Alligator mississippiensis: one gene and its partner. Each later gene encodes a partner of the first gene's protein in a complex. Links are inferred from orthologs where the notes say so. Each region holds a gene or a part of one and is shown in the gene's direction. Other genes may lie near its edges.

Region 1 (7,786 bases):
CACCTCTACCTGCTGTTGCCAAACAAACTGCTCTGGGTGCTTGGAAAGCTCTTCCCTGGGGAAAGCAGAGTGGGCCTGCACTATAGAGCCTGTGCTGCTGAAATCCCCTCAAGCGCCTGCTGTTCATAAACCAGCCCCTGTCCCTGACTGGCCTAAGCTCAACCAACTTTGTCATCTTCCTCTAAATAGGGAGCTGTGCTGTAAAGCCAAGGAACAAATGCAGGGTAGGAAGAGGGGACTAGGCAACATGATTCCTTTTTAACCATGGCATCTCTAGAGTTGACATTAGATAACATGTTTTCTACCCAGGGGATTTTTTACAACAAAAGCTCTGAAAGGACAGTGATAACAAGGGCAGGGTGGGAGTAGGGTGTGAGGCACTGGGCAAGGGCTTTTTAAGCAAAGAGACTTAAGAAGAGATTATCCACATGCTGACTGTCCCTTGCTCCATCTGCTTCATGACACACACAGAGTTTGCCTGTGCTGCTTGAGGCACACATGCTGCAGGTTGGCCACCCCATCCTAAACTGATAAACCCTTAGCAAGTGAGTAGCTCCACAGCAATCCAGTGGATCACTCGTGTGACTCAGACTCAGAGGCCTGGGCCCAGTTGCTGGAAGGGGTTGCTCCCAGGCTAGAAAATTTACTTTGAAAGTGTATGCAAATATAGACTGACAAAATACAGGGCCTGAGGTTGCCAGACAGTGTGTGGTGATGCTCAGGCCTCAGGGGACAGGTTTTAAAGGTCACTGCAACTGCATCTTCCACTGTTCCCTGTTTGGAAATTTAAAAAAAAGTTTCTAATCAATTCACTACCAACTGGAATGTGGGAAACGCGGGTTTATTTCCACCAACTACACACAAACAACACATTCAGAAAGATCACCATCACCTGGCTAAGATATATGTCACCAGGCAACATAGCAATATTGAAACCAAAAGCCCCGTTCCTCTCCAGGTTGGGCACAGGTATAAGAGTTCTGTCCAGAGTCCAACATAGCCAAGACTAAACCGGTCACTGCTGCAGGAGGGACTCCTAGGTATGATGTCCTTGGATGGGATAACCGGACTGGGGCAGGGATACACCCCAGAAATGGCTGTAGACTCTGGGTGAGGGCAGTGTGCTTGCCATCACCCCTTCTGGCTGGATCAGAACTCCTAGCTGCTGCTTCCCACCTCCCTTCCTAGCTTCTCCTCCTTGGCAGCAGGGTCTGTTTGTGTGGCTCCCTCTCCCCACTGGATGCTGCTGGGAATGGCTTTTCCTTCTGCGGGCTGCAGAGCCAGGCGTGTTGCTTCAATGTGGAGTTGTGCATCAAAGCACAGAGAGCAGGTAATGGCATCCAGGTCTAGGCCTGCGGTCAGGAGCATTTCCCTGTGCATCTCCCGGTACTCCCAGAAGCTGTCTCCATCCTCTCCAGGGCTCTGCTTCTCATGGCTCCCCATCACTGTCACCTTCCTGCCCTCCTGCCTTACTGTCAGGTCCTCTGGAGAGAAGCCAGGCACGTCCAGATGCAGATCAAACTTCTTGTCCTGCCAACCCTTAGACTTGGGCTCCTGCTCTGTGGCCCCAGCCAGAACTGCTCCATTCACCCTGCAGCCCATCCCCACACTGTGCACCCAGAGGGGTGAGGCACCTTCCAGCAAAGCCCAGCCCTACCACATAGCCAGCCTGATCCATCATTCACGAGTCAGGGCCAGGGCCCTCCCACCAAGGCCAGATACGGCCGGAGGAGGCAGGCTCAGCCCAGATATGAGCAGGAGGAGGAAAGTTCAGGAAGTGCCTGGAAGTGCCACGCGGGTACAAAAGGCAGCCCAGCAGGCAGCAGAGGCAGTGCTCAGCTGAGCAATGCAAGGCAGCGTGCGTGGCAGGAGCAGAGCCATGGCACGCTACTCCCGGCGCCTGGTGCGGCTGCTCCCTGTGTGGCAGTGGCCATCGCGAGGCTGGTGGCCCATGTGTGTCTGCAGCAGCAAGGGGATGAGCAGCCTCCTGCAGCCATCGCCAGCCAGCATCTTTGAACAGATGGCGAGTGACCTGCAGCAGCAGGTGGAGGCGAAGGACAGGCTGAGCCGTGCTGTCTTCCAGGCCCAGCCGCTCCTGTGGTTGGAGCCTGCGGGCCAAGGGGAGCTGAGGCAGGATGGAGGGGCCCAGGCTGGGGCTACAGAGCAGGAGCCGGAGTCTGGGGGTCGGCAGGACAAGAAGTTTGAGCTGCACATGGACGTGGCCGGCTTCTCCCCGGAGGAGCTGACAGTGAGGCAGGAGGGCAGGAGGGTGACGGTGACAGGGAGGCGTGAGAAGCAGAGTGCTGGAGAAGATGGAGGCAGCTTCCAGGAGTACCTGGAGCTGCGCAGGGAAATGCTGCTGTCCACGGGCCTGGACGTGGAGGCTGTGACCTGCTCCCTGTGCTCAGATGGACAGCTCCGCATTGAGGCACCGTGCCTGGCCCTGCAGCCTGCAGAGGGGAAAGCCACTCCCATCAGCATCCAGGCGGGAGAGGGAGCCACACAAGGAGACACTACCGCCAAGGAGGAGAAGGCGCTGGGAAGGGAGGTGGGGAGTGGTAGCCAGGAAACCTGATCCAGGCCGAGGGAATGATGGCAAGCCTGCTGCCCTGGCCCAGAGACTGCAGCACGCCTGTGGTGCATCACAGCCCCGCAATCATACCTAGGTGTCCCTCCTACTGCAGTGACTAGGGGCTGTGCAGAGTCTGTAGCCACCTTGGTTTCTGGAGAAAGCTATACATGTCACCAATCTGGAGAGGGATGGGGCTTTGGGTTTCAGTACCACTTTATTGCCAGGTGACAATTATTCGGCTGACTGTATTGCTTATGTGTCATGATGGAAATAAACCTGTTTCCCACATGCCAGTTGTCTGTGGATTCAATGGAAATTGTTTCTTGTCCAATTGCCCAGCTCATTGTTGAGGAGGAGGAAAGTGTCAGTGCTTTGTGTGTAAAAATCACTGATTGAAGAGCATAGTATGGAAAGGATAGAATTACATCTGGTGCAGACGTACCGCGTGTCTTAAGCCAGTGTAGTCAACCTTTACAGCACCATAAGGAAGGAGCAGATAGGCAGCATAAACCTCTCTGGGGTATTGTTGCCTCAGAAAAAATGTGTAGGAGATCATCCGACCCCATCTGTCCTGGTGTAGTTGTTTTTTTCCAAGGCCAACAGGTGTGCTCCTGCCACTGTGGCAAGGCTGTGGAATGGTGCACACTGTGTGTACTCCAGCTTATACTCCAACAGTCTCTTTTTTCTGCAGGGCAGTTGATACGAAAGGTGGAGTAAACACATGCTTTTTGCCCATGCACAAGACTGTCTCCGGGCACATCCAGGTCCTGCTTGGGATTCTTGATTCTGGAGCGGATGTTCTTGCTCAGAAATACCCCACAGGCCTGCAAGGGCAGCAGCTGCCATTGATCTCTGCCTCTCACCTTCAGGCCAGGCAGACGGCAGACAGGAGTTATTTACATTGCTGCACATAACCGCTTTACACCACATTAGTATACATGTCATAGGTCTGGGTCCTTCAATGTTAGATTACTATTTGTAGGTGAGTGTCCCTACGGTCTTGGAAACTAAATCTGACCTAGGATTTGGACTTCTGGAGGAGACAGTTTTGAAGGCTGGGAGATATTGAACCATGTTGTAAAAGTGTAACAGTCAGGACTTGTGAAGAGAGGTCCTAAGAAGAGGTGTCCTATACAAAATGGTTTGTAAGGCAATCGTTGAGAGAAGAAGGGAGGGATGTCAGCACCCACCCTAGCAATGTCTTCCTGATCGACAAATTCCTGACACCCAGGAGCCTGTCCTTTCTTCCCCTGTTGTCAGCGATTATGTTGCAAGGCTTGTGCTTGTCTTCATGGCCCAGCTGCTAGGATGAGGGTGTTTTTAGCTTTCATGAAAAACAAAAAATGTTTCTAGCCTCAAAGATACAGACAAAAGCTGGAAACGTGGCCTCTAAGGCCCCAAGCAGGGGCTAATGGCCTTCTGAAATTCTCAGCTGGGGGAGCCCATTGTAGGGGGCCACAATGGGGACGGTGTTAGGTCAGAGCAGGGGCACTCAAGTCCTGGCCTGGTGCGAGGCAACAAGCCCGATTCAGCCTGTGCAGGGCTGCAGCTGCAGCAGCAGGGCCCAACCTGGCACAGGCAGGGCTGGGAGTGGGAAACGGCCGCAGCTGGCACGCACGGGGCTCCATTCAACCTGGGCCCTTGGTTACACTGTGGGCCCACGGCCTGGATTTGGCCTGCAGACAGACACATCTGCACCACTCATCTGGCCCGCAGGGCCAAAAGCTCCGTCACCCTGGGTTGGCACTGCTGGTTTTGTTTAGGGTCCGGCCAACCCCTCTAGACTCGAGGCAGCCCTCGGAAACCGCCAGCTCCCGGCTCTCGCTCCTTGGACAACAGAAACAAGCGTGTGCCACTCATGGTGGCTGCGAGCGCCGCCGGGCAGACGCCCTCTTTAAGCGCGGCAGAGTCAGGGTGGACAGCACAGGGCACGTCCCTGTTTTCTGCTCCTTTGTCCCCTATTCATGCGGCACCCGACGCTTCTAGTCCTCTATTTTTCTCTTCAAACAGAGGACGTCAAGGCGTCCGGTTCCGTCTCAACAGAGAACGACCAAGCTGTCCTCTCTGACGGCCACCTCAGCGGGGTGTGGCGCGGTGCGAGCCCACGTGCAAGGACCGGCTTCCGGGCGGCCCCCGGGGCGGGCGGCGAAACTACAGCTCCCAGCAGGGGCCGCGCAGGCGCGGGGCGGCGCAGCGGGGCCGGGTGGGAGCCGGCATGGCGGAGCCGGAGGCCGCGCAGCCCGGGCGGACCACGCAGCCCCCCGCGGCGTCGACGGCGGCAGGAGCGGGCCCCGCGGGGGCGGGCGCGGGCGGCGCCGCGGGCTCCAGCGACCCGGCGCGGCCGGGCCTGAGCCAGCAGCAGCGGGCCAGCCAGCGCAAGGCGCAGGTGCGCGGCTTCCCCCGCGCCAAGAAGCTGGAGAAGCTGGGGGTCTTCTCCGCCTGCAAGGTACCGGGCCCGGCAGCACCCCCGCCCCGCCCCGCCCCGGCCCCGAGCCCGGCCCCGGCCCCCCTCACGCTCTCTTGCCGCCCCCGCGCAGGCCAACGACGCCTGCAAGTGCAATGGGTGGAAGAACCCCAACCCGCCCACGGCGCCCCGCATGGACCTGCAGCAGCCCGTGGCCAACCTGAGCGAGCCCTGCCGGAGCTGCGGGCACGCCCTGGGTAAGACCGGGGCAGGGGTGGAGGAGCGGGGCGACGGGGTGGCTGCGTGCGGCCGCTGGTGCTGACCCGCCGGCCCTTTGCTGCGGCCCCGCAGCTGACCATGTGTCCCACCTGGAGAATGTCTCAGAGGAGGAGATCAACCGGCTGCTGGGCATGGTGGTGGACGTGGAAAACCTCTTTATGTCGGTCCACAAAGAGGAGGACACGGACACCAAGCAAGTGTACTTCTACCTGTTCAAGGTGCGTTGCTCAGGGCTGTGCCCCGGGGTCCCGCTCTGCAGGGTGCCGTGCCTTGTGGAGGTGCCTCAGGGTCCCTGCTTTGCTGCCAGGTGACGTGCAAGCTAGTGCTGGTGGCCAGCTGGGCTGTGTGGTCACGTCCCCCCGATTCAGCAGCAGTGTTTAGCCCTACCACATGGCATTGGTGCTCCTGAAGCTTATGGAAAGCAGCTGGTAGGGAGCTTCCCCCCGTCTCCCCCATTGGATGCCTTTGGGGTGTTAAGAACCCACGTGCTATGATCTCTCCCCAAACTCTGTCCCAGCGCTGGGCTTGGCTAACTCCCCCCTGCAAGGTTTTGATTTCATGTGGAGCTGCTAGGGGTCGTACACAGTTAAGGTTTTCAGCCTGCAGTATGCTAGGCCGTTCCCAGTCTGACATGGTGGCCCTTTGATGCTGTTCTGCTAGACAGACCTTTCACCAAGAGTCAGATCTGTGTGTCTGCATGCTGTTGGGGTTCTGGTTTTGCTGGACCCAATGTCTTGATAGGCCAGCTCTTCAGGGAGCGTGCTGCAGAAGTCTGTTCTGGGATCTAGGCTCAGTGGGGGATTCATTTGTTAGGTGCCTGCAGACCTGTTCAATCAGCCCAGCAGCAAGGTGGTTCTTTGGAAACTGCACAGAAGGTCTGAGCCAAGGCCTGTGGGGAGAATTATCTTCAAAGGAAGAACCGGGCATGCTTTGCCTCAGGCCTGGCCAGATCCACAGCTGGCTGCACTGAAGACAGTGCCCAGGCCATGTGGCCCCCTCGACGCACTCTCACAGGGGCCCCAGTTTAGGATCCCCAGGATATAGAGGGCCCCCTCCTGCATGTCACACCACTGACCACTGGGATGTTCCCCGCTGTTTTTACCTGAAGTCCAGCGGGACCTAGAGCTGGTTGGCAGAGGCAGGGGTGCAGTGGGATCTATCTGCCGCTGCTGCCCCCCCCCTCCCCCTTGGTGCTGTGGCTCTGGAGGGGTAGGCCTGCATGGGGCAAGGAAGGGGCTTCGCATCTGGGTGCTACCCTGGGGCAGGGGCTGCCCTCCTACCTTTGCAGACAGGCACCTGCAGGCTCCAGGCAGGGGCCAGCCAGGCCCTGGAGCACATGGGAGCTGCCCTCAGTGCTGGGGCTGCCTGGTCTCTGGCTTGTTCCTCCTGGTCTTGCTGGAACCCCTTTCTGCAGCTGGCTAACCCCTGCCCTTGCTCTGCCTTCGGTGGTGTAACAGCCTCCTTGTGTCTCGCAGCTCCTGAGAAAGTGCATCCTGCAAATGAGCCGTCCGGTGGTGGAAGGGTCCCTTGGGAGCCCACCCTTTGAGAAGCCCAATATTGAGCAGGTAACACGAGCGCTCCACAGCGGGCATTGGTTGTCACAACAACCTCTTCTGCTGTATCAATTCCCTAGTGTGTCTGCGCCCAGGGCCTCCCAGGATGGGGGTGCTGCTGCCACTGCCTCCTGTGCCTGCTGTTTTATATCATGGTCTTCAGCCTCCTTCCTCCTTTTTCTCCTACCCCTTGTAAAACTAGAAGAGCTTCCTTGCAGCTCAGTGCTGCTTCTCCCAGATAGAGGTTCTCCTGGGCTCTTCAAAAGCAAACCAGGCTGCATTTTGGTGCAACAGTGTGCCAGAGGGTCTCTGTGCTTGGAGGCAGGGATGTGATGGAGATGCATGGAGCTGGGCAGCTGCTGGGCTGCGGTCCTCTCTTCTGACTCCACACCTGCTGCGTGCAGCTTTGTCCATGCTTCTCCCACCCTGCTCTGCCCTGCCCATCTCTTTCCTTAGCTCTCTGGCTGTGATGACAACATCACATCCAGTAATTGGATGCAAGTTGCCTGCCCCTGTGTTCTGCTATTGGGCCCCTCTCAGACCTGACCAGCAGTCCTATGGGTATCTCTCTCTTTATGCAGAGTTGCCAGATCTGCCAGCCTATGGGCAGACTTCTGCAGCATGATGTTACTTCATTCCTGCCCTGCCCCAACCCACTTACTGCCTGAAGCAAAGCTGAACCCCAGTCTCTGTTGATGGTTGCAGCTATTCTGTGCTGCCTCTCTGGACTCTCTGGCCCTCCTGGTCCGTTAATGTTACCCTCTGCACCCTCACCATCCCTTGGTCATAGGACCATAGAAAAGTGGGCCCTCAGGAGGTTGTCTAGCTCTGCCTACTGCTCAAGGCAGGATCATCCCTATCTAAACTGTTCTATACAAGTGCTTGTCTAAGCTTTTCGTAAAGCCATGCCAACAACCCTGTTGCACAGCTGCAAGGCACTTTGTGTGGAGCCATCTTAGGACTGACCATGATGTGGTG
Region 2 (6,817 bases), on another chromosome or scaffold:
GGAGGAGAGGGATGGTCACTGCTGGACCCATGTCCTGGTGAGCAAAAGAGGTAGGGGAAGCTCTGATTTTTTTTTCACAGTTAAAAAACCTAAAATCAAATGCCAAACTTTATAGGCATTTAGAATTTATTTTATTGTAGTGACTGAGGTACTGGAAGGCTTCGAAATTGCTTAAAAGCTGTAAATATATCAATAAATCATTGTGTTCTACTGATACCTATATATAGCGGCATTTCCTATTAATCATGGGAAAACATGGATTTTAGGGTTTTTAATCGGAGAATTTGCAAGTGCATTTTAATCGGAGAATTTGCCATTTTTAAACAGGGAAAACCAGGATCCCTGCCAGTGATCCCAGGAGGGGAAGTAGAGGGGCCATGTGACCCAGGGAGCCCTATATAAGCCCAAGCTTCAGGCCAGCTGTGGAAGCCATCCGGGATGGAGCCTTCCCTGGGAGGTGTGGAGACTGGAGCCCAGACTCTGGAGAGAGGACTTGGGGGGGGGGGGGGGGGGGCAGCGCTGAGTGAAGAGAAGCTGGGAGCCTGCATAGAAAGAAAGCTAAGTACCACTGGGACTTCCTGTTTTGCTTTCTTTTCTACTTGGAGCCTGCCACCAAGAGGTGGGGCGATTCCGTGTGGGGCGTTCTTTTGAACTGGGACTGGTGCTTGCATTTTGTGGTTTTCATTCCTCTCCCTCCTTCCCTACCCTGTCCCCGAGGACTGGGTTGTGGGGGGGGGGGGAGGGACTGGGGGACCCTGAATTTGCACTGAGTTGACAGAGGACAAGGACTAGAGTGTGTTCTGTGGCTGAATGAGGCCAAGCTTGCCTGGACTGTAAAGATGAATGTTTAAAGTATGTTTGGTGGCCATAGGAGGCCAAGATTGTCTGGACTATAAGGCAGGAGGTGGCAGGGGAAAAACGGGATGCCAGGCCCCTAGCGCCTACATAGTGGATTGCAGAGGCTGGAACCTGAGGTTGTGGGTTGTGACCAGAGCTGACCCAGGAACTTGCAGCTCTGAATGGTGGGCCCCAAGCTAGAGGGCTGAGGGAGAGTAAAATCAGGACAAGGCCATGAGGGAGCCTTGGACCAGACGGGGCCCACCTCTACAAAAGCATGTTTCACCCTCTGTGCAGCCTCCCCCCCACTAATGTTAACATCAAAGGCATGGCAGTTGAGACTACTGACTAGGGGAAAGATGGGTGTTTATATGTATGACTCTTTTTATTAATGTACATGTTAGACAGAGTTTCATTAGTTTTTATTGAAATGTTGTATGGCAGCTAGCTAGTATAGTAGATGTTCCATATGATACGGTAAGAAGTATTAATACTACAAACATTTGGAAATGAATCATAGCAATCTTAATCATTGTATGGTCTGGCTCACAATGAAGGTTCTCTCTGTCCAAGAGTTCTGCTAATTCTCCCCCAACATGACCATCTCCTACCTTTTGAACTTCTTAATCTCTTCTGCTCTTTTTTTGTCCAGCTGTGACCCTCTTGTCCTTTAGTCATTCCCTCTGTCCCTATTGCTGTGTTTAGTTCTTCCTTCACATGAGCTCTTCTCTCTTGCTGTGCCCCTCTGTCATTCTAATCCATGGTGCATGTGTAGCCAAATGCAGCCCAAGCAGCTAAAGGAGCAGAAAAAGTGACTTTTGGTCATCTTTGTCATCCTAGGGCTAATCAGGACTGTTCTGGCTTTCATCTGGAAGAATTTGTCCTTGAGGAGTCATTTTGGCAGTTGGTGCAGCCTGTGAATTGCTATCCTGTTATTGTTCAGTTATGCATGGACAGATAGCCTTCTCTTGGAGTCACTAAAGTTGACAGAACTTAACTGAGGATAAAGGCAGCAGCATGGGAGAGAAGTGACATGAGCTGTAGAAGTGGTGGTCCTGCATTTCAGGAGCTGGGCAACAAGGCTTCATGGGATGTGTGTGTAGGATACAGCAGCTGCACTAGTGTAGTTCAACTAGTATTGACAAAAAGTGCAAGTTGAGAACCCTGTAATTAGAAACAGGTCCTTTTCCTTGCTGCTTTCTACCAGGTGCTGAGCAGGATAACTGAGGAAAGCTTGTAACAGTAATGAATGAAAACAAGGATAAAGGATAGTTATAATGGCTGAACATGTTGGTTACACAAGGGGAATTTAGACACGGGGATTTAATAAGGTTTTAAATGTTGGGAGGAGGGAGGCAACTGCTTCAAGTTTTAATGACTTGTTTTGAGGCGATAAGAATTTCAAGAAAGGCCAATTGCTCCGATTCTCATTCATAGTGCAAAACTCTTCATGGGAGAGAAGAATAAACTGTCTCCAGCTTTATTAACAGGGGAAAAGAGAGTTTGGAACTAGACGAGCAGCAATATTAGGATGCATATTAAAATATTAGGAATACATGGGTTATATTTTGCATGAGTGCTGTGTGTCCCTGGAGACTCGGGGGCGGAGGGCACAGACCACCTGCAGGTGGCCCCCTCTGGGGTGGGTGGTGGTGGGGAGCACCAACCAGTGGTTGGCAACCACCTGCAGATGCCGCTGGCAGCATTGGCAGTAACCAGTGTGTTTCAGGGACTGCCCATAGATGCTGCTAGCAGTGTCGGTGATGAATGATGATTAGAGTCCTAAGACCAATATTAGTGGTAATGTATTGACCTGAGAGACCATTTCCCTAAAGCTGTTGACTCCCACCTCCTTCCCCTCTTTTCCACCGGTGTCAATAGGTGGCTTGACTCTGTGGTAGACTGTCCAGTAGATGTTTAAGGGAAGACTTTTTCTTTTTCCTGTCTCTCTCATCTCTTCTCCCACCAACTCCTAAACACTGAGTGCTGAACTTCAGCAAACCAGAGTCCAAGCTAAGCAATGTTGCAGAGGCCAACACAAGACTTGTCCATACCACCTTTGGGCCACGACCAGCAGGCCAGGCTCCATCTGTCTGCTTTAAATAAGCTAAAAGGTATTATTGGGGAGGGGGGAAACTGTTGCAACACATCCCTTTGCCTCTGCAGCCTAGAAGCATCCATTTGGACAAGGCGCTGGCAGCGTTTGCTCCTCCCAAAAGGCTGATGCTTTCTTTAAATATTCCTCTGTGGGCCATTTTTTTTTTTTTTCAGGGGTTTCAATCCAGACTTACAAGCGCAAAAAAAAAAAAAAAAAAAAAAAGCAGCTGCTCTCGACTTGCCTCCGGTCTCCTTCTAGCTACCCCCACCCCCAGCACCGCATCCAGCCTGGAAGGACCCATTCGCTCCTCCCAAAAGACAGCATCAGCCTGTGGGCCACTTCACAACACCCCCCCCCCCCAAAAAAAATTTGTGCATGGAAAGGCTGGATTGAGCTCCCGCTTGAACTAGAGGGAGATTGGAGGCAACCCCAGCATCCCTCCCTCCCGGGCCCTATTGTTAGGTTGCAGAAGCGGCCTTGTCGCGGATCCGGAGTCACTCCGGAGCTGCCCTCCTCTCAGCGCCGGGCTTCTCTTCACCCCTCCTTTCCTCACAGGTGCGGCGCCCTTCAGCCTCGCAGCCATTTTGGGCTCGGCCAGACAAAGAGCACCCCCCACCCTCCCTCCTTCCCTCCCCGCCACCGCGCCCCCCTCCCTCCCGCCCCCTCCAGCTCCCGCCGGGCCGCCGCCGCCCGGCTCCCGACTAAACCCCCGCAGCCATTTGCGCGGCCTTTTATAGGCGCGGGCGGGCCAATGAGCGCGCGGCGGAATCCCGGCGGGCGCGCCTGCGCAGGGGGCGCGGGGGGCGGGGCCGGGCGGCGCGCGCGGGGGGAGGGGAGGGGCGGGGCGGGTCAGGGGAGGAGTGTGAGGGGAGGGGGGAGGGCGCCCAGCGCACAGGAACCCTCCAAAAAAAAGATGGCGGCGGGCTCGGATCTGCTGGATGAGGTTTTCCTGAACACGGAGGTGGACGAGAAGGTGGTGAGCGACCTGGTGGGCTCCCTGGAGTCGCAGCTGGCGGCCTCCGCCCACCACCACCCGCCCCACAAGGCGCAGGAGCCGCTGCGGGCCGCCGGGGGGCTGCTGGGGAACCATGTTGTGAGCGGCAGCGGCAGCGGCGGCAGCAGCCCGAGCCCCAGCCCGGCGGGAGCGGGAGCAGGAGGCGGCGGCGGCGGCGGCGCCCATGTCCACAGCGAGGGCGGAGGCAAGATGGGGCTCAGCGCCCCCGAGGTCCCCAAAGCAGGTAGGGAGGGACAGGGCTTCCCCCCTGCCCCTGAGGGCTCTGGCAGGGGGACCCCCCCACTTTTCAGGCCCCCCCCCGGGGGTGGCAGCGGGGGGAGCCTCCTGCCGGCCCCCCTCGCACTCCAGCGCTCCCCCCGGCTGCTGGAGTGCCAGGGGGGGTTATTAATCATGACACCTATTTCCTGTATGGGAGGAAGCCGGGTGGGGGGGTTCAAGGAGGAGGGTGTCCCCCCCCACCCCCCCCACGCACCATCTGCATCTGTCTGGGTGTCCCCCCGTCGCCCGCCTCTTCTCGCAGGAGCCTGGAGGGGGGCATTCGACACCTCTCATTCCTCCTTTCCCCTCAAGAGGGTGTTCTTGCAACGTCAGGTCCCGGCGTGGAGGTGGTGGTGGTGGCAATGGGGGGGGGTGCACCCCACCTTCCTCGCCTTCCCGCCGGCTTTGGGACTGGGGGGTGGAGGGGGGGGTCGGTGTTCGTCACGACGCGAGGTCTCCGTTGGTGGGGGATGGTGGCGTGTAAGATGTTGTTTTTTTTTTTTTTGAGGGAGGGAAAATGTTGTCTTGTGCTTCTTGTCGCCTCCTCACCACCCCCACCCCCCTCTTTTTTGTGTGTGTGTGTGTGTGTGTTTTTTCCTTCTGCTAAGAGGTCGTTGCTATTAAATCAAAGCAGCGGGGATTGCGGGGGAGGGTCCCCCATACGATGCGCCTCTTAGTGTATCTGTCAGTGACTGCCCCGTTCCCATTTCTCTCTCTTTTTAATGCAGGACCTGAAGTATCTAAGCTGGGGTTAGTCATAATACCAGGCCTTGCCAAGGGGCATGAAGAGCTCTGGGGGCAAGAAGCTGCATCATAATGGTCCTTCTCAGTGCCAGCATCTACCTTCTCTTCTTTACGATTTTACTTTATTGTTATGGTTTTGGTTCTCGGGTTCCCGTAACCATAAAGAGCAGATCCCGTCCGCTCTTTCTCCTAAGAGCTTTCCCCTTGTCAGGCTGTCGGTTCTCTCGTCCCCACCTCCTCTTCTTGCAGTAGTTGAACTAGATGCTCCAGCAACTAGCTGCCAGTCTGGCAGCTGATAGGATGAGGAGGGTAGCCCACATCAGGTGTACAAGGCATGGGGAATACACCTTATTAATGGATTTCCCAGGCTCTCTGTCTCGCCTTCAGTTTTTTTTCCCCCTTATAGTTGCAGGATCTGAAGTTATTAGACATAATGTCAGTCCCTAGAATGAAAGAGAAATAGGTTGAAGGAAAAGAAACATTTCCCCAGTCATGGTCTGTATTGTATCCTATCAGGCGTCTGATTTCCCTTCTTGGTGCAAGTGGGCGTTATAATTAATAACGCTGCTAATGGGAGACTAGGGGGCCTTGGGATTCACTGGCTTGTAGCTCTTCTTCCTCTGCATATGCTCACCCCTGTTTCTTATTGCAGGCAGCATGTGGGGGAAAAAGGCTGCTTGGGGGGAGAATGCTTCCCATGCTTCTGTTGTCTCCTGCGCATTCTCTTCTTGTAACCTCCTTCTCGTTGTTGCAGGAGCTGGAGGAGTGCAAGGGGGTGTTATTAACCATAACACCAGGTCCCAGAGTTCAGCTCTGGATGGAGCCACAACGACCAGCACCAGCACCACCACTGCAGCAGCTACAGCAGCAGCTGCAGGAGGAGGAGGAGGATCTGAAGTTACTGCTGCTCCAGGGACCCTCAGTCAGGGCAAATCGGTGGTTATCAGCACCATGGCAACCTCCTTGTCCACCAGGAATGGCAAAATTGGGACCACAACCGTGCAAACTTTGAATGGGAGTAATGTGGTGATGAACTCTCACCACTCCGGAAGTGCTGCTTTCTCTGGGACTCCTGCAACTGCTAATCCTGCTTCTGCACCTGCTGTTGCCCCTCTAGTTAACAATGGACCTGGATCGGTGGGGAAAGCAAATACTGTTAATGCTGTTTTGCCATCAGCTTCCAGCACTGTCATCCAGACTTCTTTCCTCAGCACTGCTGTGTCCTCTGCCTCTTCGTCACCCACAGTGATCTCCTCACAGCCACCACCAAGCATTGGAAGCGGGGGGGCTACTGTAGCACTGGTGAGGCCACCGATTCATACAGCAGGACCCACGGTTGCTGCAGCTGCTGCAGCCACCCAGAATGGGAGCAATACTGTGATCAATTCAACCATCAGTGTGGGGAATTTTCCTGCTGTTGCTGCAGCCACTGTGGGATCTGGAGTTGCCCTCCAGACATCGCTTGTGAACAGCCAGCCTGGTTCCAGTGTGCCGGCAGCCCCCACCACGCAGGTCATCAAATCGGAGTCTCCTAAAACTATAGTGCAGGCAGTATCCCAACAGCAGACACTGGCTGCTAGTGGCCAGCCCAGTACTACAGGGGGTAACATGATCATTGGGCAAACTATGCAAGCTGGGCTCTCTAATGTGGCCCCCAATCCTGGTGGGATACCTCCAGCAGCTCCTGGTACTCCTACGGGGATGGCTAAGGGCACTGCCAATACAGTGGCACAAAATCTGCCAAGGACTCCAGCAGCAACGACAAGTGGTATCAGAGCAACTTTGACTCCTACAGTTTTAGCACCTCGTCTGCCTCAGCCACCTCAGAATCCAACTAATATTCAGAACTTTCAGTTGCCACCAGG

The links. Proteins that work in one complex are often made in the same cells at the same time.
Region 2: KAT2A (region 1) and TAF4 share a complex: the UniProt entries of both Homo sapiens proteins name them as parts of the TFTC-HAT complex. The link is inferred for Alligator mississippiensis from reciprocal best matches to the Homo sapiens genes KAT2A and TAF4.

The regions. Positions count from the first base shown.
Region 1 is NC_081827.1:162,545,808-162,553,593, forward strand, and holds the start of KAT2A (histone acetyltransferase KAT2A), read left to right. Parts: upstream 1-4,772; 5' UTR 4,773-4,787; coding exon 4,788-5,018; intron 5,019-5,109; coding exon 5,110-5,233; intron 5,234-5,327; coding exon 5,328-5,473; intron 5,474-6,730; coding exon 6,731-6,820; intron 6,821-7,786. Other genes in the region: heat shock protein 30D-like, read left to right, coding at 1,880-2,575. UniProt on the Homo sapiens protein: Protein lysine acyltransferase that can act as a acetyltransferase, glutaryltransferase, succinyltransferase or malonyltransferase, depending on the context.
Region 2 is NC_081832.1:5,995,307-6,002,123, forward strand, and holds the start of TAF4 (transcription initiation factor TFIID subunit 4), read left to right. Parts: upstream 1-3,809; 5' UTR 3,810-3,848; coding exon 3,849-4,173; intron 4,174-5,706; coding exon 5,707-6,816; intron 6,817-6,817. UniProt on the Homo sapiens protein: The TFIID basal transcription factor complex plays a major role in the initiation of RNA polymerase II (Pol II)-dependent transcription.